Coturnix japonica: one gene and its partners. The protein of the gene in region 1 interacts with the protein of each later gene in a pairwise test. Links are inferred from orthologs where the notes say so. Each region holds a gene or a part of one and is shown in the gene's direction. Other genes may lie near its edges.

Region 1 (5,288 bases):
AAGAAGCCACAGAAAAACACAGCAAATGGTACAGGTGGGCTTTCTGCCTGCCTGAACGCAGCAAAAGCTATTAGATGGTGCTAAGCTGTACAGTTACAAGTGCACAAAGAAAATCAAGGGATCCACACACAGATGTTAGGAGGACTCAAAGCAGTAAGGCTTATTTAGAAGAGACACAGTGCAAGGTCCTTCCATTTGCCCAATGTGCAACAGGAAAGGCAACCAGAACTCCCAGCCATCCAAGGGCAGCTCACCCATGCGACCCAGGGACCTCCCAACTAATTAAGGCTACTGGTTGCTCAGTGAATAAACCTCTACCTCCACAGGCAGCTGTAATTACAGCTGGTTTCCCTTGAAGGTCATACAAGGCTTGTAATTACCAGCCACTGCTTATACATTGCCAGCCACCCAGAAGAGCCCTTAAGACTACAAGCAATGAAGCTATGAGCAGAAGTAACACACACAGTTCACATATTCATGATGGTCTACATATTCCATCAGAACAAATGAACAGGCCTACTCTTCAGTTCTTAACAAGGTTATTAGTATAAGCCATTGTTATTAGCCTGACTATTTTAAGATAAAGGTTCATAGTTCTATTGAATTTCAAATGGAAACTGTTCAGTGCCCACTTCAACCTAGCAAGCACCTGCTTACACAGGCAATACGTTTTGCAGTTGATAATTACAAGCTGAACTCTCAGCCATACCCAGGTAGTATTTCTTGGTTTCAGCTCCTTGTCCAACGGACCAATCTCTTCGAAGTTCCCAAACCCACAGCCTGAAGATCCCGGACCTCCCTAAGGGGAAAGAGCAAATAACTGAGTTAGGAGGCAGCACGCCATAGATGAGGGAGACAGGAGCAGAACAAAACAGCACAGTAAGCACAATTTCATAGGGGAAGTCAAAGTGCCCTTTGCACTCCTCAGTAACTTGCAGAGAAGGCTCTGTTCCTCACTGTCTTTCACTATGAGCTGGGTGCCGTATGAGAACTTTTACCCCAATTCCTTTAATCCCAAGTACAAAAATTAGCCAAAACACAGAAGTCTGTGAGTCACTGGGTTATTTTTCTTAGCCAGCATTTACAGAACACACATTTTACCCCTTGATAACACAGAAGGGAAAGGACCAAGTCAGCAAGTGATCACATCTAATGTTCATTTCTGAAACACAGTCCTGGAGGTGAATGCAGAGCACACAGGGATGGCTGCTATCAGCTGTGACTGAATGGGACCAGTCACGGTGACAGTCAGTTTCTCTCTGTTGTTCCCTTACAGAACTTACTGTACTTCTCTGCCTGCTCTGCCCACCCCCACAGGCTGCAGGTGCCACAGAATCACACAGCACAGGAGCTCATCACAGCCACCAGCAGCGTCTGCTCCTGCACCGTGACTGGGGGATGTAATTCCACTCACCTGCAGCCACAGGACGAGCGGCAGTTCGTTGTACCCCGCACTGTAGTACAGCCACCAGAAAAGATGCGCCTTGCTGCGGACCTGCACGTACCCCCACAGCTCCCGGGGGGGCTCCAGAGCCGCTCCTGTGGGCAGAAAGACCGTCAGTGGGGGAAACACCAGGAGCCCCACCGAACCCGGCTCAGAACATCGCGTTTCAGCCTTGGGTGTGATAATTAGAAGGGCTTCAATTAAGAAACTACCACAAGGAGCCCGGCTGTAGATATACACACACCCACAGCTGACTGACCGGCCACCAACGAACCAAGAGCGGCGGGGAACGAAGCGCGGAGCTCATCGGCCGGCACCGCCCCGCCTCGGGACGGGCCATAGGACCGCGCTAAGGCCGCCCCGCTCCGCAGGGCACCGCGAGGAGACGGAACACGGGGGTTGGAGCTACATGATCCTTGAGGTCCCTTCCAACCCGGGTAATTCTGTGATTCTGTGATTCTGAGACACGAGAGGACAGCGGGGATCGCCCCGCTCAGCCCCGAAGCGCTGCCCACACACTGCAAGGGGTGCCCGGACACGGCCCGTACCTGCCACCAGAGCCGCGATCAGCGCCATCCCCGCAGCAGCCCGCCCCGCTGCCATCCCCACAGCAGTTCTCCCGCAGCTCCAGTCCCGCCCCTCTCTCTCTCTCTCCATCCCGCCCCTTTTGTCCCCCTCAGGCCGCCGTCCCTCCTCCCCTCCCTGCCCCCAACATGGCGGCTGCTGTCGGTTCCCCGCTCCGGCTGCGGCTGCAGTTCGATTTCCCGCCGCCGGGCAGCCCTGGCTGCGCGCTGTGCTGGCTGCTGCTGGAGCCGGGTCAGGCGCGGCTGGTCACCGACCTGCTCAGCATCATCCGGCACCGATTCGGCTTCAGCCGCCGGGCCCGGCTCAGCCTGTTCTTGGACGGGGCGCTGCTGCCGCCCACTGAGAGCGCCCGGCTCGTGCGGGACAACGATGCGCTGCGGTACGACGGGATGGGAGATTTTGGAAAGGGTCCAGAGGAGGGACAGGAAGATGATCAGGGGGCTGGAGCACCTCCCCTATGAGGACAGGCTGAGGGAGTTGGGTTTGTTCAGCCTGGAGAAGAGAAGGTTGCGGGGTGACCTCATTGCAGCCTTTCAATACCTGAAGGGAACTTACTCCCAGGAGGGGAGTAAACTCTTCGAAAGGGCTGACAATAGCAGGACACGGGGAAATGGTTTTAAGTTAAAAGAGGGAAGATTTAGGTTGGATGTTAGGGGGAAGTTCTTCACTAGGAGAGTGGTGAGGCACTGGCACAGGTTGCCCAGTGAGCTGTGGGTGCCCCATCCTTGGAGATGCTCAAGGCCAGGTTGGACGGAGCCCTGGGCAACCTGATCTAGTAAAGGTGTATGTTTGGTGGCCCTGCCAGGCAGGGGGTTGGAACTACATGATCCTTGAGGTCCCTTCCAACCCGGGTCATTCTGTGTGATATGGGGGCGGTGTGAGCGCAGTGTGAGCGCGGCTGGATGCTGTTTGTTTGTGTCTCTTTAGGGTGACGCTGGAGGAGATCACGGAGGAGCGGTGCGAAGAGACGGATGGAGAGTGCCGGGCACAGAAAGGTGATAAAACAAGGCACAAACGGCGGCAGAAGGAGCGAGAGGAGGAAAAACATCAGAGGGAAAAGAGGAAGGAGAAACGTGAACCAGAGTGTTCGTCCGGCAGAGAGGACAGCGCCGGGGATGGATCCGACACCAGGAAGAAATCCAAGAAGAGAAAGAGAAGGGAAGAGAACAGCGGGATGGTTCCAGAGGGGAAGAAGGGCAGAGCCCCGAGGCTGCAGAAGGCACCGGCAGCCAAAGCAAAAGATGGGCAGCAGGCAGTGCTACCTGTGTCAAAGGCGGCCCATAAACGGGTGGGCAGCGCTGCTCTGACCCCCAGTAATCGGACACTGGAGGCCCAGAAGCAGAGGGTGGGAACGTCGGAGTCCTCCAGCACATCGTCCGACAGTGACAGCGCTGAATCAAACGTAAAGCAAAGTAAATCCTCACACAGACCTGCAGCAATGGTGCTTCCCAGAGACAAAGCACAACCTGCAGTGACTGCTGCTGCTTGTAAGCAAATGTCGAATGCTAAACGTGGCAGTAAGGATGCAGGTAGTAAAAACGCTAAGAAACCGCAGTCCTCCAGTTCAGATTCGGACTCAAGTTCCGAGGATGAAGGAGCAGCACCAGCACAAGGCAGAACTGCAGAGCAGGCGCTGCCCAACAGCACAGCAGTGGCACAGACTGGGGCCATTGGGGCTCCCAAAGCCGGGAGCTCTGAGTCTGAGTCCGACAGTTCCGATTCAGAAACACTCGTCATTAAAAAACCTGCAGCCAATGCTGGACTGAGTAATTCCATAGCAAGAAACGGCTCCAAACAGTCACCAGCAGGAGTCCAAGGGCTGGCTGCTGGGCTGGGGCGTGGGAGGGGGCGTGCAGCGGGAGCGGGGAACTTCTGGAGAGGACCGAGGGGCCGCGGGTTCCGGGGGATGGCGAGGGGCTGGGGCAGAGGAGAAAGCACGGGCTTCTTCTATAGCTACAGCAGTGAAGGCCAGAAACAGAGGCAGCTGGATGAAGCTGTGACAAACACCCCTGTTCCTGTCCAGGTGAGTGACTTACGCAGTCATTGACCAGCTCTCTGTCACAGCCTTAACTGTATAATTAAGTACAGCGTGAGGGTAATTTGGAAAAGCTGAAGAAAGGTAAGTAGGGTAAAGGCTGATAGATCTGAACACGGTACATTTGATGTTTGCAGTATATGTCCTGCAGAAGAACTTATGAAACAATAAGTGATTGTATTGGTGGAATAATTGCTATGGGCAACTTGGAATGAAGGCACAGCGCTGTTCATAGCAGAGTGCAGCTGAGATGCTGATCCGCCAGCAGGTGGCACTGGAGGTGGAGTGGAGGGAGACTGCAGCCAGGTTCTGTGATCCACAGCAGCTCCCTGAGCAACCACAGTAGTGGTGTTGGCAGCATCTGGAGGACTGCTGTTAGTGGCTGTAATTGCAGTGCTGGGATGGATGGAAACTTGGTGGTACTAAGCTGCAGATGTGCTACCCTGGGTGGGCAGCCTGTCATTCTTAGACAAAATGCCGTCCTTTGGGTGAACTTTGCTCATTATGCACTCGTTATAATACCAAAGCACACCTCCATCCCCAAAGATGCCCACCCCAAGGAACAACTGCCCTCACTGAGCACTGCTCTGAATTCTTTAGCCTGTACCTTTAAAACCTCTTCCCCCCCCCCCAGGTGAGATTCACACACTTGGTTACACTGAGAGCTTTTATGGGAAACTCATAAATCTCAGTGGAGTTGTTTGTGACCCAGCACACGTGTGCCAGGTTGTTATTCTCAGCTCTTTGCAGACTGAATTTATCAGCAGCTCTTTGTTTTGCAGAATGCTGTGGATGTCCCCAAGAGAGACTACAGCGTTCTACCACTTCTAGCTGCCCCACCACAAGTGGGACAAAGAATTGCCTTTAAGGTAAGGATCTTTGGAAGTACTGAACGTCAGTAGGTCAGCGCTGTTTCACTTGGGCCCTGTAAGTTTTGCAGGGAACCATACACAGTCCTGCCAGCCAAAAGCCTGTATCAATAGGTACACTTCCAAATAAAATGATTTTTTTTTTTAAAGAAGCAAAGAAAACTGAAATAATTGCTGCTGAGGAGACTGGACTTTTCTCCATGATCTCCTTTCACAGCCTGACCTGAGCAGGAACCCTTCAGAGCAGTGAGTCCTGGCAGGCTGTGATAGGCACTGGGATCTGGGTGCCTTGGTTTCTGTGCTTCCCATTGCTGAAGGAGCTGTGCCTGGGGAAGGGATCAGGAGAAACCGTCAT
Region 2 (5,268 bases), on another chromosome or scaffold:
CGAGTCCCTTCACCTGATCCCTGCTACCGGCACCTGCTGCTGCTTGCGGATCTTGTTGAACAGCTCCATGTACTGAACCATCGTGTCCGCGGGGCTGTAGACGCTGTCGTGTTTGGTGCCAAACACAGTCGGGATGCCGGGAGTGTGGCTGCCCATGAAGCTCTGCATGAACTCCATCAGCAGGTTCCAGCAGTCGTTGGCGATCACACAGGGGCAATACTCCACCTGGCAACAAAAAACAGCCCTAAATGAGATATGCATCAAGAGTTTGAAGCCAGCAAACACCTCCTCTGTACTGCACTGCAGAGGGATAACAGTGCTTTTCAATTGAGAACATTGAGCACATAACAGCAGAAGGACAAACATGTGAACAGGACACACAGGGAATGTGCAAACCAGCTCCTCAAAAGAGAAGAACAAGAAAGGGAAATTTCCCCTTTAGGTTCATCCGTCATTTTAAACCCCCAGCAGTGGAAATCCAACGACAAACTTCTCTCCCAAGAGTCGCTGTTAACAGCCTGTGTGGCCACGACATCTCTCAGATGTGTGATGATAAAGCCTTGGGATTTAAGGACTTGCGGTTCCAGACCAGGGATTATGTACTAATGGACACCCAGAAAACAACCTACTAAACCAAAGCAGAAGCAGCCGGACTGCCAGGAAAATCTGGTCCTGGACTCAAGCTTAGGGTAAAACAAGCTTCTCTTTAACCCCAGCTCAGCAGCAGCTCGCACCACTACATCTGTGTTTATTCTTATGAAGCAAAACCAAGGCATTTCTCAATCCCATCCCTGTTAGCTCGGAACACCTGCCTGGGTAGATGCGCCATCATTATTAATTACAGACCAGTTAATAGGATTTGTGTGTTTAGGGAAACACATGCTCAGATTTTACAAGACCTTTCAGCACCTCATCTCAGATCTGGGGCAGCACTGACAGCACAGAGCTCTGTGACCAGGAGAAAGCAGCTTTAGAGCCAAAGCTGCAGCAGGAGGGCATTGAATGCATTAATACAACCTGCCAGCAACGAGTAACACAGATGATACATGGAAGGGATGGGGACTCAAGGTTTCTAGCCAAGCCTCCAACATGGGATTTCCCTGCCCTGGATTTCATACCCTTAAAGGTGATTCTCACCTCCACGGATATCCCGCGGGCGCTGGGGCCCATGGTGACGGTTCCCACCTTGACCAGGAAGTCGCAGTACTGGTACCGCGTGCCCCGGCTCTCGATCTTGTTTGCCTTGGCGTTCTGGAAGAATCCCTTCAGCTTCACCATCAACGTGTCGAAGTTGGCGTCCGCGATCAGGCAGGGCCCGTTTTCAAACAGAGCGAAGCAGCTGAGGGGATACTCGGAGTTGTGCATCACGTACATCAGTTTGCCCGTCTGCCCTGAAAGAAAAGCAGCGTTTGGCCCGTTCCTTTGACACCCACCCTTTAAACATTCGTATGGGTTGATAAGCGCCCCCAGCCCCTCTCAGCCTTCTCCTCTCCATGCTGACCAGCCCAGCAGATGCCCCATGTCCGCACTACACCCGCCCCCCCCGGGTTCCCACCTTGGCTGCTGATGGCGGCTGCCGTGTGATACGTCTCACAGTCCACCCCGAACGCTCCGTGTTTCTCGGCTCCCAGCAGCTCCAGCTTCTTGCTCAGCAGCTCCACGGTTTGCTGCACGCTCTTACCCTCCAACACGGGCACCTGCGTCACGCTGCGGGGCGACAAACAGCAAAAATGGCCGCGGGGCCTCCACAAAACCCAAACCCAAACCCAGCCCCAACCCCATCACCCCATCACCCCATCCATCACCCCATCCATCACCCCATCCATCACCCCATCCCCACCGGCCCCTCACCAGGTCACCCCCATGGCTCCGTCCCGGCAGTGGCGGTGCCGGTACCGGAAGGGGCGGGGCTGGCCGTGCTGGCGCCGGCGCGTCTGATCGCGTGTCGCTGTTGCGGCCATGCCGAAGGCGGCGCGTGTGGCGGAGCCGCTGCACGAGCAGATCCTGCGGGCTGCGGCCCCCACGGTGCGGAACCGGCGGGCGCGGGACGCGGGGCGCGATGCGGAGGAACGGGACGGCGGATACGTGGGGCCGCGGTTGTCCCGGCGCATCCTGCGGGAGGCCCGGAGGCAGCAGGAGGAGCTGGAGGCCGAGCACGGCCCCGGGGCGCCCGCACCGACAGCCCCGAGCGGGCGCGGGTCGGAGGAGGACGATGAGGACGAGGAGTGGCCGTCACTGCAGCGGGCGGCGGAGTGGGACGGGACGGGCGGCGGGGGGGACGTGCAGGTGGATCCCGAGGACGAGAAGGCCCTGGAGATGTTCATGAACCGCGCGGCGCCGCTCAGGTACCGGAGGAGGGGTGGGAATGGGCGGGGGGTGGACGGGGAGCTCCGGTTCCCCATCACCGACCCCTGCCGCCCCCCCAGGCGGACGCTGGCGGATGTGATCATGGAGAAGATCACGGAGAAGCAGACGGAGGTGCAGACGGCGCTGTCCGAGCTGTCGGGCCGCCCCATGCCCCAGCTCGACCCCCGCGTGATAGAGGTGTACAGAGGCGTCAGAGAGGTGAGGGCACTGCGGCCCCCCCGGCCCCACACACACCTTTGTGGGACCCCCCAGCTCCCGGCGGAGCAGTGCAGACAGCACTGCTGTGTCCCTCGGGTGTTGTGAGCACATACGTGCTGTGTGAGCACACGCAGTGGAGCTGCACAGGGAGCAGACAGGTTGCTTACAGCCTTGAGACAAACCCTTCCCCCTCTGCTTCCATTGAAGGTGCTGTCCAAATACAGGAGTGGGAAGCTCCCCAAGGCATTTAAAATCATTCCTGCCCTGTCCAACTGGGAGCAGATCCTCTACATCACGGAGCCCGAGACGTGGACGGCAGCAGCGATGTACCAGGCCACGAGGTGGGACCAGCTCAGTGTGCTCTGAGCTGTTGTTTTCTCCTTGTAATGGAACGAGATGGACAAAATACCATCGTGTGTCCTACAGCTGCTCCTCCTGCCCTGTGCCTGTGGAGCAGAGGGGATCCTGATGCTGGGGGTGGATGGCTCTGGAGTCACAGCTCACTCTTCATGCTTTGCATTTCACAGGATATTTTCATCCAACCTGAAGGAGAGGATGGCCCAGAGGTTCTACAACCTGGTGCTGCTGCCACGGGTCAGAGATGATATCGCTGAGTATAAGCGCCTCAACTTCCACCTCTACATGGCTTTGAAGAAGGCTCTGTTCAAGCCAGGAGCCTGGTTCAAAGGTAGGGGCTCCCTGCAGGGCTGCACTCCACCCCTGGGAACCTGCTGCAGGGCAGGGCAGGGGGAGGAAGGTGGAAAGGTGCCCATGATGCAGAGATGTTATTTCCTTGGGTTAAATGTGCCCTGAGAGAGCAGAGATTGAGCCTCACACCCCACAGCTCTGCCTGCTGCAATGACCAGTGGTGCCCAGCTCTTCTCTCCCCACAGGGATCCTCATCCCCCTGTGTGAATCGGGGACCTGCACACTGCGGGAGGCCATTATCATCGGCAGCATCCTCACCAAGTGCTCCATCCCTGTCCTGCACTCCAGGTAATGCACTGGGGCAGTCACTGCCCCTCAGCCCATCCAACAGCTCAGAGTGGGGGAGCTTTGCTCAGGGCTGATTCAAAGCCGTCCTTTTTGTGCCCTGCCCTCACCTGCTGCTCCCCTTGTCCCCACAGTGCAGCCATGCTGAAGATTGCTGAGATGCCATATAACGGTGCCAACAGTATCTTCCTGCGGCTGCTCATCGACAAGAAGTACGCGCTGCCGTTCCGTGTGGTGGATGCCCTGGTCTTCCATTTCTTGGCCTTCCGCACAGACCAGCGCACGCTGCCCGTGCTGTGGCACCAGAGCTTCCTGGCTCTTGCCCAGCGCTACAAGGAGGACCTGTCCTCGGAGCAGAAGGAAGCTCTGCTCGAGCTGCTCAAGTTCCACAGCCACCCACAGATCTCAGCCGAGATCCGCAGGGAGCTGGTGAACTCCAAGACACGGGACGTGGAGGGGCAGGAGCCGGCAGTGATGGAGTGAGGGGAGGAAGGAAGGAAGCACCACAGCCTGGCCTGGCTCCTGGGGGCTGCTGCACAGCTGGGAGCAGCACGTCCAGGGGTCTGGGAGCATCCAGCCCTGGGATCCCACTGCTCATGGTGCTGTAACCACGGGGCTGGGCTGGGCTCCCTGCGCTGCTTGTGTCAGGGCAGCCCTACAGCCCTGGCACCCAGGACAGCAGTAGGGCTTGTCCTGCTCCTGTTCTGGAAAATAAAGCCCGTGCTGGGTCCTTCCTGGAGCAGCTCTGACCTGCAGTTGCATCTTTGTGTGGCTGCATCCGTGCATCGTCCTGCCCTGTCCCCCTCCCCTCGTCCTGTCCCCAGCAGGGGGCAGAGCAAAGCCACCAACAGCGGCTCCTTGCAGCACTGCGCTGCAGCTGTCCCGGCTGCAAAAGGAGACCAGGGGCTGTGCAACTCCCTGCCCTCCTTGTGCTCTGGTCAGCAGCGAGCACGTTCCCAACTGTGCTGTGCATTAAGCAGCCTCTGTGATGTTGGGCAGAGGGGCTGGGGTTAAACATCTTCCTGTGAGAGGTGGGGGCAAGGGGCAAGGCCATAACCCACACGTGGCAGCTGCCTTGAAGTGCCACCTCTGCTGTAAAATCCAGCGGGGCATCGCACAAGGCTCCGCGCTTACCTGGGTGCTCACCTGGACACTACAGCTCCTGCAGATGTCCAGCTCCTGTCCTTGCTCCTGGAAGCATCACGGCCCATGGGGAGCAGTCCCTGAAGCTTCGTGTAGTGCTGAGCACCTCCTGGCTCCGTGTCTCCCCGTGGAGCAGAGCAGCACCTGGGGCTGCTCACACACTGCAGCCATTTTTTTTTAATCTTGGCTTCCTGGTTCATATTTCCTTTCTTTAAAAAAGCCAGAAGCTGATAAGAAGAGAGATCGGCCGAGCTGCCAGCAAACACGCAATGCAACGCGCTCACCTTCCTGCTGCACAGCCCCGTCTGTGCAGGGAACAGCAGCAAAGGGAAAGCCCTGACACCGCCGTGCTCCTTTAAAATACTTTATTGCAACATTACACGGTACTCCAACTTTCCCAGCAGCAGGACTTGCATGTGAACACCACAACAGATTACTCTTAAATTAAAACTCACTCATATATATATATATAAAAAAATCTGTTTGTACAGACGCTCCTCGCAATTCATCGGCGGTGAGAGCACAGCAGCCCCAGCTTTTTCCACCTGATAAACTTGTTTCTGGTGG
Region 3 (4,246 bases), on another chromosome or scaffold:
CATCTGTAGCTGATGAGGTTACTGACACATGAATTCTTGCACTGATTATGAAACTAGAAGCTAAGCACTCCTACTCCCAACTATGACTCCAATACTGATACCTATGACTTTGAGAAATGCTTCTATTTTCTGGTGATTTTATAACAATAGGGCTGGAATACTTAATCATCAAATCATAGAATGGCCTGTGCTGAAAAGGACCACAATGATCATACAGTTTCAATCCTCCTGCTATGTGCAGGGTCATCAACCACTAGAATAGGCTGCCCAGAGCCACATCCAGCCTGGCCTTGAATGCCTCCAGGGATGGGGCATCCATAACCTCCTTGGGCAACCTGTTCCAGTGGGTCACTACTCTCTGTGTGAGAAACTTTCTTCTAATATCTGACCCAAACCTCCCCATCTCAATTTAAAACCATTCCCCCTTGTCCTACAACCATCCACCCTCATAAACAGTTGTTTCCCTTCCTATTTCTACCCTCCCTTCAAATACTGGAAGGCGACAATGAGTTCTCCCCGGAGCCTTTTCTTCTCCAAGCTAAACAAGCCCAATTCCCCCAACCTTTCTTCATAGGAGAGGTGCTCCACCCCTATGATCATCTTAGTGACCCTCTTATGGACCCATTCCAAGAGTTCCACAGCTTTCTTGTGATGACGGCTCCAGGTCTGGGCACAGTACTGCAGATGGGGCATCACAAGAGCTGAGCAGAGGGGGACGATCACCTCCCTCTCCCTGATGGCCACCCCTTTTTAATGCAGCCCAGCACACCATTGGCCTTCCAGGCTGCAAGCACACACTGCTGGTTCACATCCAGCTTCTCATCCACCAGGACCCCCAAGTCCTTCTCCAAGTCATGCATCAGAGGAACTGACTATATGAAGAAAAGAATGTAGCTGGTCCTGTACTTCTTGGTACACAGCTTTCCCAACACAAGTAGGAGACATGATAAAAGTTGGTTCCAAACCTAAAAAGTGCTGTTTACAGACAAAACACTCATATTGTTCTATTGTCATTCACATATACACCATTAACAACTGTCAGAAAAGTGCAAGTCTTCCATGGCCTTTAACCCAAAGGACTCATGCTGAGCTCATTGCATTCTGACGCCTTGTATGTTTTCACTCCAAGTTCTCTATTCTTTGCTGCAAGGGGCATGAAAACCGTCCATATACACGATTTCCCACATTGTTTATTATTTCCTACATATCCTCAGCACTAACTTCCTTGCAATAAACTTATAAGCAATTCTCTTTCAACTGGCGCCCAGTGAGTTTTACTGTCAGAAAGAAAAAAAAAAGCTTTATTTTAACGTTATCTCTGTTCCCCAGCCAACACATGAGGACAAACACATCCATTATAAATTATCACAGAAACAAATACGAGTGCACTTCAGATAAACATTTATTAAGAAGAATCGTAATTGCTGCTCTTATCCTATCCATCCATAAAGGTAGGGATGTGAGGGGGGACATTCTGGATCTGCAGAAGACACGGTGTGAGGCAGCCGGGGGCTGAGGGAGAGGTGGACAGGGAAGGGGAGGAGAGGGATGGAGGGGCAAAGGCCTAACAGAGCAGAGCGGCGGCACAGTGCTGCGCTGCCACCCCCCGGCCACCACAGACGACACAACCAGAGGTGGTATACGACCATTGGCTGGAGCAATGAGGAGGGCGGCCATTCCAACTAATAAGATTGAGCCCACAACCCCTTTTCCCTTCGCGCTCCGTGGCTCCGTAGCCAATCGCGAAGGCGGCGCGGCGGGGTGAGAGGTTGGAGGTCGGCGCGGCGGCACGGAAGTGGAAGTGGAAGGTATCTCAGCGCTGCCTTCCATTCTGCCTCAGCCCGCGGCGCGCACGAGGCGATCCCGCCTGGCTCTGCGCTTCTCGGGCCGCCATCGCGCCCCATCGCCATGGTGAGGGCAGGGCAGGGCAGGGTGGGGGGAGGCTGTCGTTAGCGGTTGGGATGGCGGGCGGTGCTGACCATTGCTCTCCCCTAGAGCCTGCCGCTCAACCCGAAGCCCTTCCTCAACGGGCTGACGGGGAAACCGGTGATGGTGAAGCTGAAGTGGGGGATGGAGTACAAGGGATACCTCGTCTCCGTCGACGGCTACATGAACATGCAGGTGAGGGATGGAGGGAGGGACCCGGGCCTTGCTTGCTTGTGGGAGGGAAGCAGTAGTGAGGCTCCTGTTGGTGTAATGTTTGTGCTGATTTTCGTTCCAAGCTTGCAAACACAGAAGAGTACATCGATGGAGCACTGTCTGGACACCTGGGAGAAGTTTTGATAAGGTAATCGTGGTGCCTGAGCTGGGGAACGGGGTCTTGTGGGGACTTCTGTGTCTTGTGTTACTGCTTTGTTGAAGCTGGTGGATCTAGGGGATGTGCTTGTGTTTTAAGTTGAAAGAGGGAAGATTTAGGTTGGATGTTAGGGGAAAGTTCTTTACTAGAAGAGTGGTTAGGTCCTGGAACAGGCTGCCCAGTGAGGTTGTGGATGCCCCGTCCTTGGAGGTGTTCAAGACCAGGTTGGACGGGGCCCTGGGCAACCTGATCTAGTAAATGTGTATGTTTGGTGGCCCTGCCAGACAGGGGGGTTGGAACTACATGATCCTTGAGGTCCCTTCCAACCTGGGTAATTCTGTGATTCTGTGTGATTCTGTGTATTGGAGCACTAAATGCTGCTGTAACTCCCATGTGAAGTGAACATTGTATTTGCGAGGGAAATTAAGACATTTCAACTAAGGGAGCTCTTGATTCTATTTACAGGTGCAATAATGTTTTGTACATCAGAGGTGTGGAAGAAGAGGAAGAAGATGGAGAAATGAGAGAATGATGATTTGTATATCTGGAAATAAAGGGTTTTTTTTCTTTTTTTTTTTTTCTTTTCCACAACGTTGTCATCAGGTGTTTATTTTGTTCTTGTATTTGACTATGGGGGGAGTTCACCCAGAGGCTATAAAGAGTCATGAATTTCAGTGGCATTCATAGAGCTAAAACAGCCTGTGGAATGGGAATGCCTGATCTCAATCTGCAGTATTATGGAAAGAACACACAAAACACTAACAACAGGCCACTCTTTGTTATCAGGCATCCAGATAACTGAAGTTTTGGCAGGAACATAATTGCTTTCTCAAATGTTAAGAGCAACCATTGACATTAACCGAAGCTGTTCTGTACCTATCAGCATTTCCTAAAGGTAACCATTGCTTTGCTGATGCTGCTAGTCAGAGCCTCCCCTTGTGAAGGATCTACTTGCATCTCTAGGCTGGAGAGAGGTTCTACAAGCCAAAACACAAATGGCTGTACCTCATGGATTTGTGTGTGACTTTGCGCTGTCTCATCAGTGACCATTTGTCTTACATCTATTCTCAAATACACAGGTATACTTTCAGTGCTACAGATGGATTAAATACAGCAAAAAGGCAGTGACCCAGCTGTGGAGTTAAAACTCCCCAGCACAGTAGGTGTAAACAGAACCTGCTCCCATATCAGCGTGGCTCACTGAGCTGTGGGTAGGGCACTGCAACTGTGCCTCATCTTAATGCTTCATCAGCAGGTGGTGCCATCATCATGAAAACACCTGTGTGATAGTGTTAGCTTTTCAGTGTAACTGGGAAGCTCCAGTATATGCTGGGCAGGACTGACCTGCTGTGCTGAGCTCCACCACAGTGTGCTGTGCGACATGCTTGACACATTGGCTCACACTGTTGCCGCTCTTTGATTTCTGTTTTCATTCATACTGTGATACTGGTGGGGAAGGCCAAAATAAGCAGCAGGAACTCCTGGGAGCAGCACAGCATCACCTTCCAACTCTTGTTCGCTTTTTGTGTGCCTGGTGAAGGAGAATGCTCTGAATGAAGATGCACATTGCTCGGTGGTGCGGCATTTGAGCCAACGTACCCATCATACCCCATAACCAACCTTTTGATCAAGGGGTTGGGCCCCTTGTGTGTCCCAGAAAAGGAACTCCTGCCTGGATGCTTGGAGCACCGCGAGGCATTATGTTCCCATGGGGCTGGGATGTGGCCAGGCTGAGCACACCCCCAAACACACCCATTCAGAAACACTCCATTCTGTTGTCGGGAGAGCGTTTTGCTGCCCACCTCTAGGGCAACCCTGGCAGGGCAGGAGGGGTCACGCTCCGCCCCGGGGGACTTTGAGCTGAGCAGCAGCTGCCTTCATCTCCGGACACTGTCTGTGCCATTGAGAGCCATGGCGGGGGAGTACCGGCTGCTGCTGGCCAATGCCCGG
Region 4 (3,703 bases), on another chromosome or scaffold:
ATCCAGCCTACATCAACAATAACCCCCCACCCCACCACCACCATCCTTTCTCCCTCCCATCAGCAAATGTCTGTCTCCAAATACAAACGCCTTGCACGTCACAGTTCAACAAGAAAATTGCTTTGGAGCCCTGGTGCTGAAAACACATCAAAGCATCGTCTCCAAATTCTCAACTTCCCTCCCCCAAAAGAAAAGAAAGCAAAGGAGAAAAAGAAAAGAGAGTTTGGCTCCCACTGGCCTGAAACAACAATAACGATAACAATCTGCAGGAGGTTTCTCCACCCTCCAAGCCAAGCCGTGCTGCTTGCACACAGCTGAGTGCAATCACTCCCCGGGGCTGCAAAAATCGCTGTCTTTTCATTAGGAAACGTTTGCAAAACCTCCTTCAAACAACCTCGCCGGTTAAAACGAAACTATTTGCTCCTCTACAGTTCAAGTTAGGTCTGCGCGGAGGGTCAGCAACCCAGCGGTCCAAAACACAGGCACGAAAGGCGTATTAACATAAGCTGTGCATTAAGACTTTATACGCCTGACAGTAATGGCTCTGCGCCGCGCGCCGTATCAACTCGCAGATGCTCCAGCAGCAAAATACAGTATTTTGGGTGCATCCCCGCTCTGCCCAAGGACAACCGTGAAGCAAGAGGGCACTAAGGACCGACAGCGCTCGGGGTGACGCTTTAACCCAGTCTGTCCCGAACAGCAACGTGCCGCCCTCAAGTTACAAGCATCGCATAGCGCAGCACTCCGCGCGACGCTCACACGGGAGGATCGCACGCGGCTTCACGACGCATCCCCCGCTGCAGCCCAACTTCCCCGGCTGGGGGCAGCCAGTAAAGCTGCAACGCGACGCTCGCGGTGCCACGGCCGCCTCCACCCTCCGGGGAGCGGGATAGCGCCTCAAGGACGGCTTATGCCCCGTTTGCTTTCGCTGCGCGCGGCTCGCCGACAGACCGAGGAACGCTACAGCGGGCAGCCCTGAACCCCCCCACATCACCCCCCACAGCCCCCAGACCCGGAGTTCAGCAACTCCCGACTGACCTGCCGCCGCCACGGGACCGCTAACCTCGCTTACCCCGCTGACCACGGCAGCGCTCCGCAGCCCGGCTTCCTCCAAATGAGCGGGCAACGCCGCGCAAATCGGCGCCGAGCGCAGCTCACGGAGCGCAGCCCCTGCCCGGCTCCTTCCCCTTCCAAAGGGGAGCGAGGACACGGAGCAAACCGCCCCAAATTGGGGACGCCAACACAGCCGCGAGACGGACCGCGCCTGGCGCTACCAGTGCGCGCACCGGGAAGGGAAAGAAAAGGGAGGAAAAGGGAGGGGAGTGCGACGTGCTGCCCCGTCCCACAGCGCTGCCGTGCCCCGCTGGTTGGCGCCGGGCTGCAGCCACCAGTTGCGCTTCCACCCCGCGCGGCTGCGGTACCTCGAGCAGGACGCGATGAAGAAGTGCCTTCTGCAGAAGTCCGGGTGTAAAGCAACAAGTGAGAGCGCGGAAGGAAGGAAGGAGGGAGGGAGGGAAGGGCACGGCGCCTCCTCGGCTCGGCTCAGCCCGCCCCGCCGGTGTCTCCGCTCTGCGCTCCGCCGGCCCCGGCTGCCACCACGCGCCGCGCACGCGAAACGCGATCAGCAGCCCGCCCCGCTCGCAAACACTATTGAGCCGCGCAAGGAGCCGTAGGGCGGCCGCTACCATCCGCCGTCCTGTGCGGGAACGGGGGAGCTCCAGCGCCGCTCTGCATCCTCACGGCTGAGCAAGAACGGCTCGCACCGCCCGTGTCCCCCCGGTGCAGTGGGAGCGGCCGTAGGGCTGCGCTCGGGCAGCTGCAGGAGGAAGCGGCGCTGTGCGAACCATGATCATCCCGGTGCGATGCTTCACGTGCGGCAAGATCGTGGGCAACAAGTGGGAGGCGTATCTCGGGCTCCTGCAGGCGGAGTACACCGAGGGGTGGGTGTCATATTAACAGCACACGCTAATACCTTGCTTTAAACTAAGCTCAGAGCAATCATTGCGTTGCTTAGGAGCACTTACGAGCGGTTCTGACTCGTTTTGTATTTATTTCTTTTAATCGTGTTGTTATTTGTTAATAGAGATGCCCTGGATGCCCTCGGATTGAAGCGCTACTGCTGCCGCAGGATGCTCCTGGCACACGTGGATCTGATTGAGAAGCTGTTGAATTACGCACCGCTGGAGAAATGAGAGTTGATTGACCCAGCCACCAGCTTCTCCCAAGGAAATAAATGAAGGCCGACATCCACTTCACAGCTACAGCTTACATATGTAGATGTTTCTCTTTAATTACATACAGGTTGTTATTGGTTTCTTTTTGTGAACTTTAGGATGCTTTTGCCCGTAAAAAATAAATGTGTTTTATGAAATACAATCATTTGTCTATGTAAAATGTTGAACTAGAGGAAGCCTCTGCCTGTGGCCTTCCTGGAGTTGCTGGGTAGAGTTCAGCATACACTTCCATCTCACTATTTCCTCACAGTGGTCATTTTGAGGTTAGAAATACAGTGTTTGAAGCTAGGGCAATCAAGGGGGGTTAGAAAGAGAGCAAAGTTCCAGGCTCCAGAAACAGCACAGAGGATGTTTGTTTGCTATGAATGAGGCATTACTCTTAGTAGGTTGCAGTGCTAGCGGAGCTCATTTTTTCACTGAAGTCAGCCTATAGTGTCTTGTTAAAAATTGGGGCAGACTGGCAGCTCCATCACAGAAAACAGTAAATCAGGTGGCGCAGTGCTCCTCACTTAGGTAAAATACATCTGAAGGCAATGGATGTGAGAATTAATGCATGTAACTGTGAACAGGATCAGAGTCTTGCCAAACACCTGCACTGCTCTGTTGCTGGTATGAGTGCAAGCTTCCCACTTGTCAGTCATTTCATTGGCTTCATATAGGATGTATGTGCAGCCTGGGACTGCCTGGCCAAAACAACCCACCTTTCCACTGCTTGCTGGATCAGACTTCTCTGCTCAAACCTCAAGAAGAGATTGTCTCAGAAAGAACAGTTAGAGGACAGCCAGCCTCTGGCTATAGCTACTACCCTACCAATCTCTACACTTGATCTAACTTTTCCATTTATTACAATGGGATAGTGGCTAAGTTTTCTCATATTCAGCAGTTCTGCAAAGACACTAAAACCACATACTTCAGCCTAATGCAAAGAGAATTAAGCAACTCTAGTATCCCCTTCAGTTTGCGGGATAGCTTTTGTTCTGTGTGACTGCCATATTACACAACAAAATTCACTTAATAACAACTCTTTCTGGCTGTCTTTAAAAAGGGACACTATGAAATATAAGATGACTGTTTCCAGCTAAAATCCTGTAGGACCTTTCCATGTTACAGCAGAGCATTATGTGGAGATGCATGTAAACTTGCACACAGGAAGCTCCAAATGCCAGGTACTGAGACAGCACAGCAGCCCAGACCGCTGCCTCCAACTGAGGTGGCCAGGCATCAGCACCAAAGGATCAGAGAGCCAACAGAGCTTTGTTTCTTACTCTGAAAGCAAAGCAGATACCAGCACAAGGTTAAGTTAATTGATAAGAAAAGCTGTGACTCTAAAACATTATAACGAAGAAGCAATTTGCAAAAACAAAGCAGGCTTCATCCAGAGTTTCTCAGGAACAAGAAAAGCCAGCTTGGTTGCTCATATTACTGTTTCTCAGACAGAGAAAGTGATGCTGTGGGCGCCAACAACGCCC
Region 5 (4,771 bases), on another chromosome or scaffold:
ATTAATGCTGTCAAGCTGGAGCAGTTCACAGCCATCTCCTGACCCTCATGCTGCTCTCTAAATGAATACAGCAACTAGCAACTGGAATATCTATTAAGCAAAAACTGAAAAAGTAAATCAGAAATTGGAGTGACCTTTAGATGGGGGAAGATAAGTTAAAGTTATAGACCGGAGATTTGATAGGAAGGTGACTGTTTTAGGAAGTTGAAGAAATCATTCACCTGCCTTTCAAAGTTTTGTTATCTGTGTTATAAAATGTACATTTCTGATTTGTCCAGTAACCAGAAAGTTCTGGAGCAAAGTACAGGCATTGACTTGTGAAGTGGCAGAGCGTTAATTATTCCCAGTAGTTACCAATAGTGAAAGATGGCTTCCCTCACGTTCACCCCTACTCCTTCTGAAAGGAGGGAGGGTAGAAGAATTAGAAGATAAGACTTTATTGGAGTGAGCACTGGGAAGGGGGATACGTGTATGTGGGTTCATTCAATTGCAATGAACAATTTGTTCTACCCTTCTAACATGCAGATTAGCACGCTAGTACTTAATAATTAAGGATATTAAACCATACCTGTTTTTTTATTGGCTCAGGAGTGCTTGTAGAAATCCTTAAATGAACTTCTCTTGAGCTTTAGCTAACATCTCTAGAAGTATAATAAGTATCTGATTAATTATTTCGTTTTTTCTCCTACTGCTTTTGGGCAGGCATGATGCATCTGTGCCTACTTCCGAAACAAATGCTTTTGGTATTATCTCAAGCTGTCAGTCTAAGTCATCCATAAGTCACACAAGGTAAATCTTTCAAGGCATAGCTATGGCAGACTGCTTGGGGGTATGCATCATTTTCAAGCAGAGATTTCTGTGTGTAAATCCAAGAAGGACTGTAACATGTGGTTGTATAAATGGAGGTATTTGGAGTCTTCTGTTAATTTTTGAAGTGATTTAAAAAATACACAGCAATTCTGTGGCCAAAAAAGAACTTGAATTATATATCACCAGCATAGAGCTGATGTTCCTTCCAACGAGATAATAGGGGAAATGCTAAGGGGTGGGAGAAGCGTGCTGCAGTTCTATCAACATTTTTAGTGTTTATTTATTCTAAAAATATGGAGTGAACTAACTGACTTTTAGGACTTTTACCACTGACACCATAGAGAATTAGTCATAGGCAGAGGGTTCATTGGGAACAAGCTGAGGGTGACGTGTAGCCTAGGGTGGACAGCTGGAAAGCTGGTAGGTGCTGATCTCTGACTTGATGAGTGGAAACTTATTTGTAGGTAAAAGCAGAATTGCTGTTTTCTGTGTTAGTGTTGAAGTTGCTAATATGTTGCCCTGAAATCTTTGAGAGCTGGTAACCTACGGTAGCATCACTTTCCAGTAGTTAATGCTGTACAGTATTGTACTGTTTCTCTGTCAATCTTTTCTGCTTTCTTTGTTTTCTCTGTTGGTTCAAAGCTTGTGTGCTAGAACAGTATTTCTGGGAAGTACTTCAGGAAGTCCGGCCAAGCTTGGAACTGCTCCTGTTCCTGATTTTTCTCCTTTTAAGCAGAGATCAAAAATTAAGAGTATGGCTGCTGCTGCCGTTTCTGCTGCCATTGCTGTCCATGCCAGGTAGAGATCAGCTCTAAAGGGAACCTTTCATAGTTTGCTTTAAGAATGTCTAAGCTCTTTCACAATACTGTGGTAGGCAAGTTGTCAGTATTACCACAGCTCCTGTGTCCTTTTATTTTAGCTCCAAAGTACTGCTCTGAATCTCGATTCTCTTCTCTTCATGGACATCCGTGTTGTGGTTCAGTCAGTAAACCGACTGAAAATAACAACTGTTGTACAGATGACAAAGAATTATCTGCATCAGTCAATAGCTTTTGGATGCTGAAGACTACAACTGGAGAGTTGAATCTAAATCTTTATCACATTGCTCTTCATAAGGGATTACTTATTTAAGTGGTCTAAACTTTGTTGACCATGCACATCAATCAGTAATGCATATATATAGATATATATGATTTCTGAACATGCATTCCTAATATATGTATATTTTCTTAATTACTAAACTGTATACATGACATGTGCTAATGGATTGTGTGCGTTATGGAAAACACACAAAGCCAGAATAAAAAAAAAGAAAAGAAAAAGAAAAAGAGGGAAAAGATTAAATAAACCTTTAAAATATTTTATTAAAAATAAAAAATAAAAGATAAGTATATTTCCCATACTGTGGTGAGTTTTCTTGCACACTGGAGTGTGTACACACCACTTTGGAGACCACCTATTTGAATAGCATTTCTCAGTTCAGTTTGTCCATACTGCTGTAGAACCTGAAGAAGTTTACTTGGCTTTTCAGCTAATCCTAGCCAACCTGATTGCTGTTCAGTCAACTAATTTCTATACGTGGTCTTTTCAAATGCTTGTTAGGCTCTCTGATCCTAGTGCCTACCGCTTGCTCTTGGATGCCCTGCTCATCACCCCTGTCACTAAACCTCCTCTGCAAGCCAGCAGGCCCTCCAGGAAGTCAACAAGTGCTCTGGAGCTGACAAAGAACAAGAGGTATTGTCCTGGTGTTTCATGTGGTTGACACTGAGGACTTGTGAAGAACCAGCTTCACCTTCAAAGCCTGTTTCTGTTGTCTGCACATTTTCAGCAGTCTGCCTGTTGTGGTCTTTGGCACAATGTCCCCAGCCCCAAATCCTGTTGGTTTCACCTGTTTGCAGAACTAATCTGCACCCTGGTCCTGCCAATGCTATTTGTATAAATCTACCATACTAAGTGCAGGTGGGCATCTGGTGCACTTCTGAGAGGCATGGTGCTGTTTGTGTTGTGGTGGTTGGCACTGTCACTAAATAGCTGACTAGAAAATAAATGGCACACTGGCTCGAAAGCCCTATCTGGATGAATTATTTGCAATGTTTTCTTGGGCAAGCAGGCTGTATGTTAGGCTAAGAGTGCTCCTGGAGCACTGCTATTTTTCAAAGCTCGTTTTTAACGTATGAAATCAAATAACTGGCATGTGGTGCAGCAAATAAGTCCTTTAAAAATTATTTGCTGTCGAGGCTTTTTGTTCCAACTCTGATTCTGTTCAGTGCACAGGACATTTTGTTCTTGTTTCCTGACCACAGCTATTTTAACACCAGCTCCTGTGAAAAGCTGATGCTTTGTAATCGACTTCAGCCTCAGAAGGGAAAATCTTTGGTGGATATTTTAAAGGACAGTACGTATTAAGCTGTTCTGAGGGAGACGTAATCTGTGGATTTTCATGTGTTTACTTGTGTTTTCACAGGAGTAACTTCAGGAGATAAGGCTCAATTAAAGATAGAGCTTGATATAAAATAAATGTGTTACGTATTAGTCATTCACCTCTTTCATAGCTTCCAGGGTGACTTGAGTCACTGAAGAAGGTTAACTCAGCCCTGACTTTTGTGAGGAAAGTGGTGATATTTGACACACCAAGATAATGTTAAGCTGTATCAAAATTTCCCTTTTTTGCCTGTTCCCAAAGAAAAATTCTCTGTAGCAATTCTGATGTCTGTGCAACACAGACTAAGTCCAAGACATGCTGCCAGCAAGACTTTATTCTTCATCTGTGTTATTTGCTGCTACTTTAGTAGAGCAAATAAGGGTGGTGAAAATTAATTCTCTGACTTTACTTTGCTCACTGATGTTCTGTGTTTGTGGCATAAGCTGCAAGTGAAGTTAGCTTGTTAGAACAATGTAAGCATTTAAGTTGTTGACTGTGAACCTGGCTTTGTTTATCCACTTTTTGCTCACAGTACAAGTAGAAACTCTCCTGATTTAGGAAATGTACTTTTGGAGATGTAAGTGCATAAATAACCGGTGTTGATATAAAGCTTGTGCACAGCTTACTCGGGTAACAATGTCTGATTTCCTTGTCATCTTGAGCTGTCAGCTGCACTTAAGGAAGAAGAGATTGCCACTAGATGGAGCCATAGAAATGAGGCTCTGCGATGCCGCATCATAACTAGAGAAAGAGCACAGTCTCATTGTATAGACTGAATTACATGTAGCAAAAGTGGAGGTAAAAAGCAAATTATGCTTACAATTTAACATCTGTATGTATGTATTATCCCATAAGTTCAACACAGAGCATGTAAAAACAATTACATCAAAAGAAGGAAAATGTCAGATTGTGAAGAAATGAATCCACGTGCAGGATGGATATTAAAATGCTTTTGCATTACCATCAGTCTAATGACATATTGTAATGTCTGCACAAATACAGTGCTGAAAAGTTGTTTTGAACAACAACTCACTTAATGCCACAATGCAATAGCTGGTGTGTGAGTAGAGCTAAAATCTTATGTCCATAAAGAGATGAGGGTAGGGCACTGCATAATACACTGACTTGTTCAAAAATCAACTGGCACAACCAAGACAGACAAGGTAAATAAGCTTCAACAACTTCAAGTTTTGCGTTTTCTAGCTGTATGTTAAATACTTTTCTCAAAAGGGCAATGAATCTATTTTACTGAGGTAGCTTATGTTTGCATTGTCTTCAGGGAAAAAGTCAAGATGGTTGTAAAGGAACCGATGTCTTTAATATCTTGACTCTTTAAGAACTGAAAGTTTTCCCTAAAACTAAACCACTTGGCAAAAAAAGTCAACCCTGAAGTTTTCAGAAATGTTAGCAAGAATAGATTTAGATATGGCTTTTGCTTTAGGTACCAGACCCAATGCCATGTACAATTACTTGAAAAGAAGATAGTCTGATCCTTTGGGAGAATATTTATTCTGAAAGAAGTTTTGTATTCTTTCTCTG

Evidence for each region.
Region 2: the proteins of COIL (region 1) and BYSL interact in binary tests that used the Homo sapiens proteins (3 or more experiments, as listed by UniProt). The link is inferred for Coturnix japonica from reciprocal best matches to the Homo sapiens genes COIL and BYSL.
Region 3: the proteins of COIL (region 1) and SNRPF interact in binary tests that used the Homo sapiens proteins (3 or more experiments, as listed by UniProt). The two-hybrid records come from large-scale screens. The link is inferred for Coturnix japonica from reciprocal best matches to the Homo sapiens genes COIL and SNRPF.
Region 4: the proteins of COIL (region 1) and POLR2L interact in binary tests that used the Homo sapiens proteins (3 or more experiments, as listed by UniProt). The two-hybrid records come from large-scale screens. The link is inferred for Coturnix japonica from reciprocal best matches to the Homo sapiens genes COIL and POLR2L.
Region 5: the proteins of COIL (region 1) and PDZ and LIM domain protein 5 interact in binary tests that used the Homo sapiens proteins (3 or more experiments, as listed by UniProt). The two-hybrid records come from large-scale screens. The link is inferred for Coturnix japonica from reciprocal best matches to the Homo sapiens genes COIL and PDLIM5.

Annotation. Positions count from the first base shown.
Region 1 is NC_029533.1:7,745,933-7,751,220, forward strand, and holds the start of COIL (coilin), read left to right. Parts: upstream 1-2,120; 5' UTR 2,121-2,157; coding exon 2,158-2,408; intron 2,409-2,956; coding exon 2,957-4,052; intron 4,053-4,846; coding exon 4,847-4,933; intron 4,934-5,288. Other genes in the region: SCPEP1 (retinoid-inducible serine carboxypeptidase), read right to left, coding at 710-799, 1,415-1,539, 1,993-2,101. UniProt on the Homo sapiens protein: Component of nuclear coiled bodies, also known as Cajal bodies or CBs, which are involved in the modification and assembly of nucleoplasmic snRNPs.
Region 2 is NC_029541.1:4,735,097-4,740,364, forward strand, and holds BYSL (bystin), read left to right. Parts: upstream 1-1,959; coding exon 1,960-2,345; intron 2,346-2,426; coding exon 2,427-2,565; intron 2,566-2,772; coding exon 2,773-2,906; intron 2,907-3,092; coding exon 3,093-3,253; intron 3,254-3,458; coding exon 3,459-3,561; intron 3,562-3,692; coding exon 3,693-4,041; 3' UTR 4,042-4,307; downstream 4,308-5,268. Other genes in the region: MED20 (mediator of RNA polymerase II transcription subunit 20), read right to left, coding at 28-225, 1,138-1,391, 1,556-1,707, 1,852-1,961. UniProt on the Homo sapiens protein: Required for processing of 20S pre-rRNA precursor and biogenesis of 40S ribosomal subunits. May be required for trophinin-dependent regulation of cell adhesion during implantation of human embryos.
Region 3 is NC_029516.1:41,569,643-41,573,888, forward strand, and holds SNRPF (small nuclear ribonucleoprotein F), read left to right. Parts: upstream 1-1,754; 5' UTR 1,755-1,908; coding exon 1,909-1,911; intron 1,912-1,995; coding exon 1,996-2,121; intron 2,122-2,222; coding exon 2,223-2,287; intron 2,288-2,761; coding exon 2,762-2,828; 3' UTR 2,829-2,887; downstream 2,888-4,246. Other genes in the region: AMDHD1 (probable imidazolonepropionase), read left to right, coding at 4,208-4,246. UniProt on the Homo sapiens protein: Plays a role in pre-mRNA splicing as a core component of the spliceosomal U1, U2, U4 and U5 small nuclear ribonucleoproteins (snRNPs), the building blocks of the spliceosome.
Region 4 is NC_029520.1:8,950,957-8,954,659, reverse strand, and holds POLR2L (DNA-directed RNA polymerases I, II, and III subunit RPABC5), read left to right. Parts: upstream 1-1,762; 5' UTR 1,763-1,845; coding exon 1,846-1,940; intron 1,941-2,083; coding exon 2,084-2,192; 3' UTR 2,193-2,376; downstream 2,377-3,703. UniProt on the Homo sapiens protein: DNA-dependent RNA polymerase catalyzes the transcription of DNA into RNA using the four ribonucleoside triphosphates as substrates.
Region 5 is NC_029519.1:52,358,691-52,363,461, forward strand, and holds part of PDZ and LIM domain protein 5, read left to right. Parts: intron 1-702; coding exon 703-789; intron 790-1,452; coding exon 1,453-1,608; intron 1,609-2,412; coding exon 2,413-2,544; intron 2,545-4,771. UniProt on the Homo sapiens protein: May play an important role in the heart development by scaffolding PKC to the Z-disk region. May play a role in the regulation of cardiomyocyte expansion. Isoforms lacking the LIM domains may negatively modulate the scaffolding activity of isoform 1.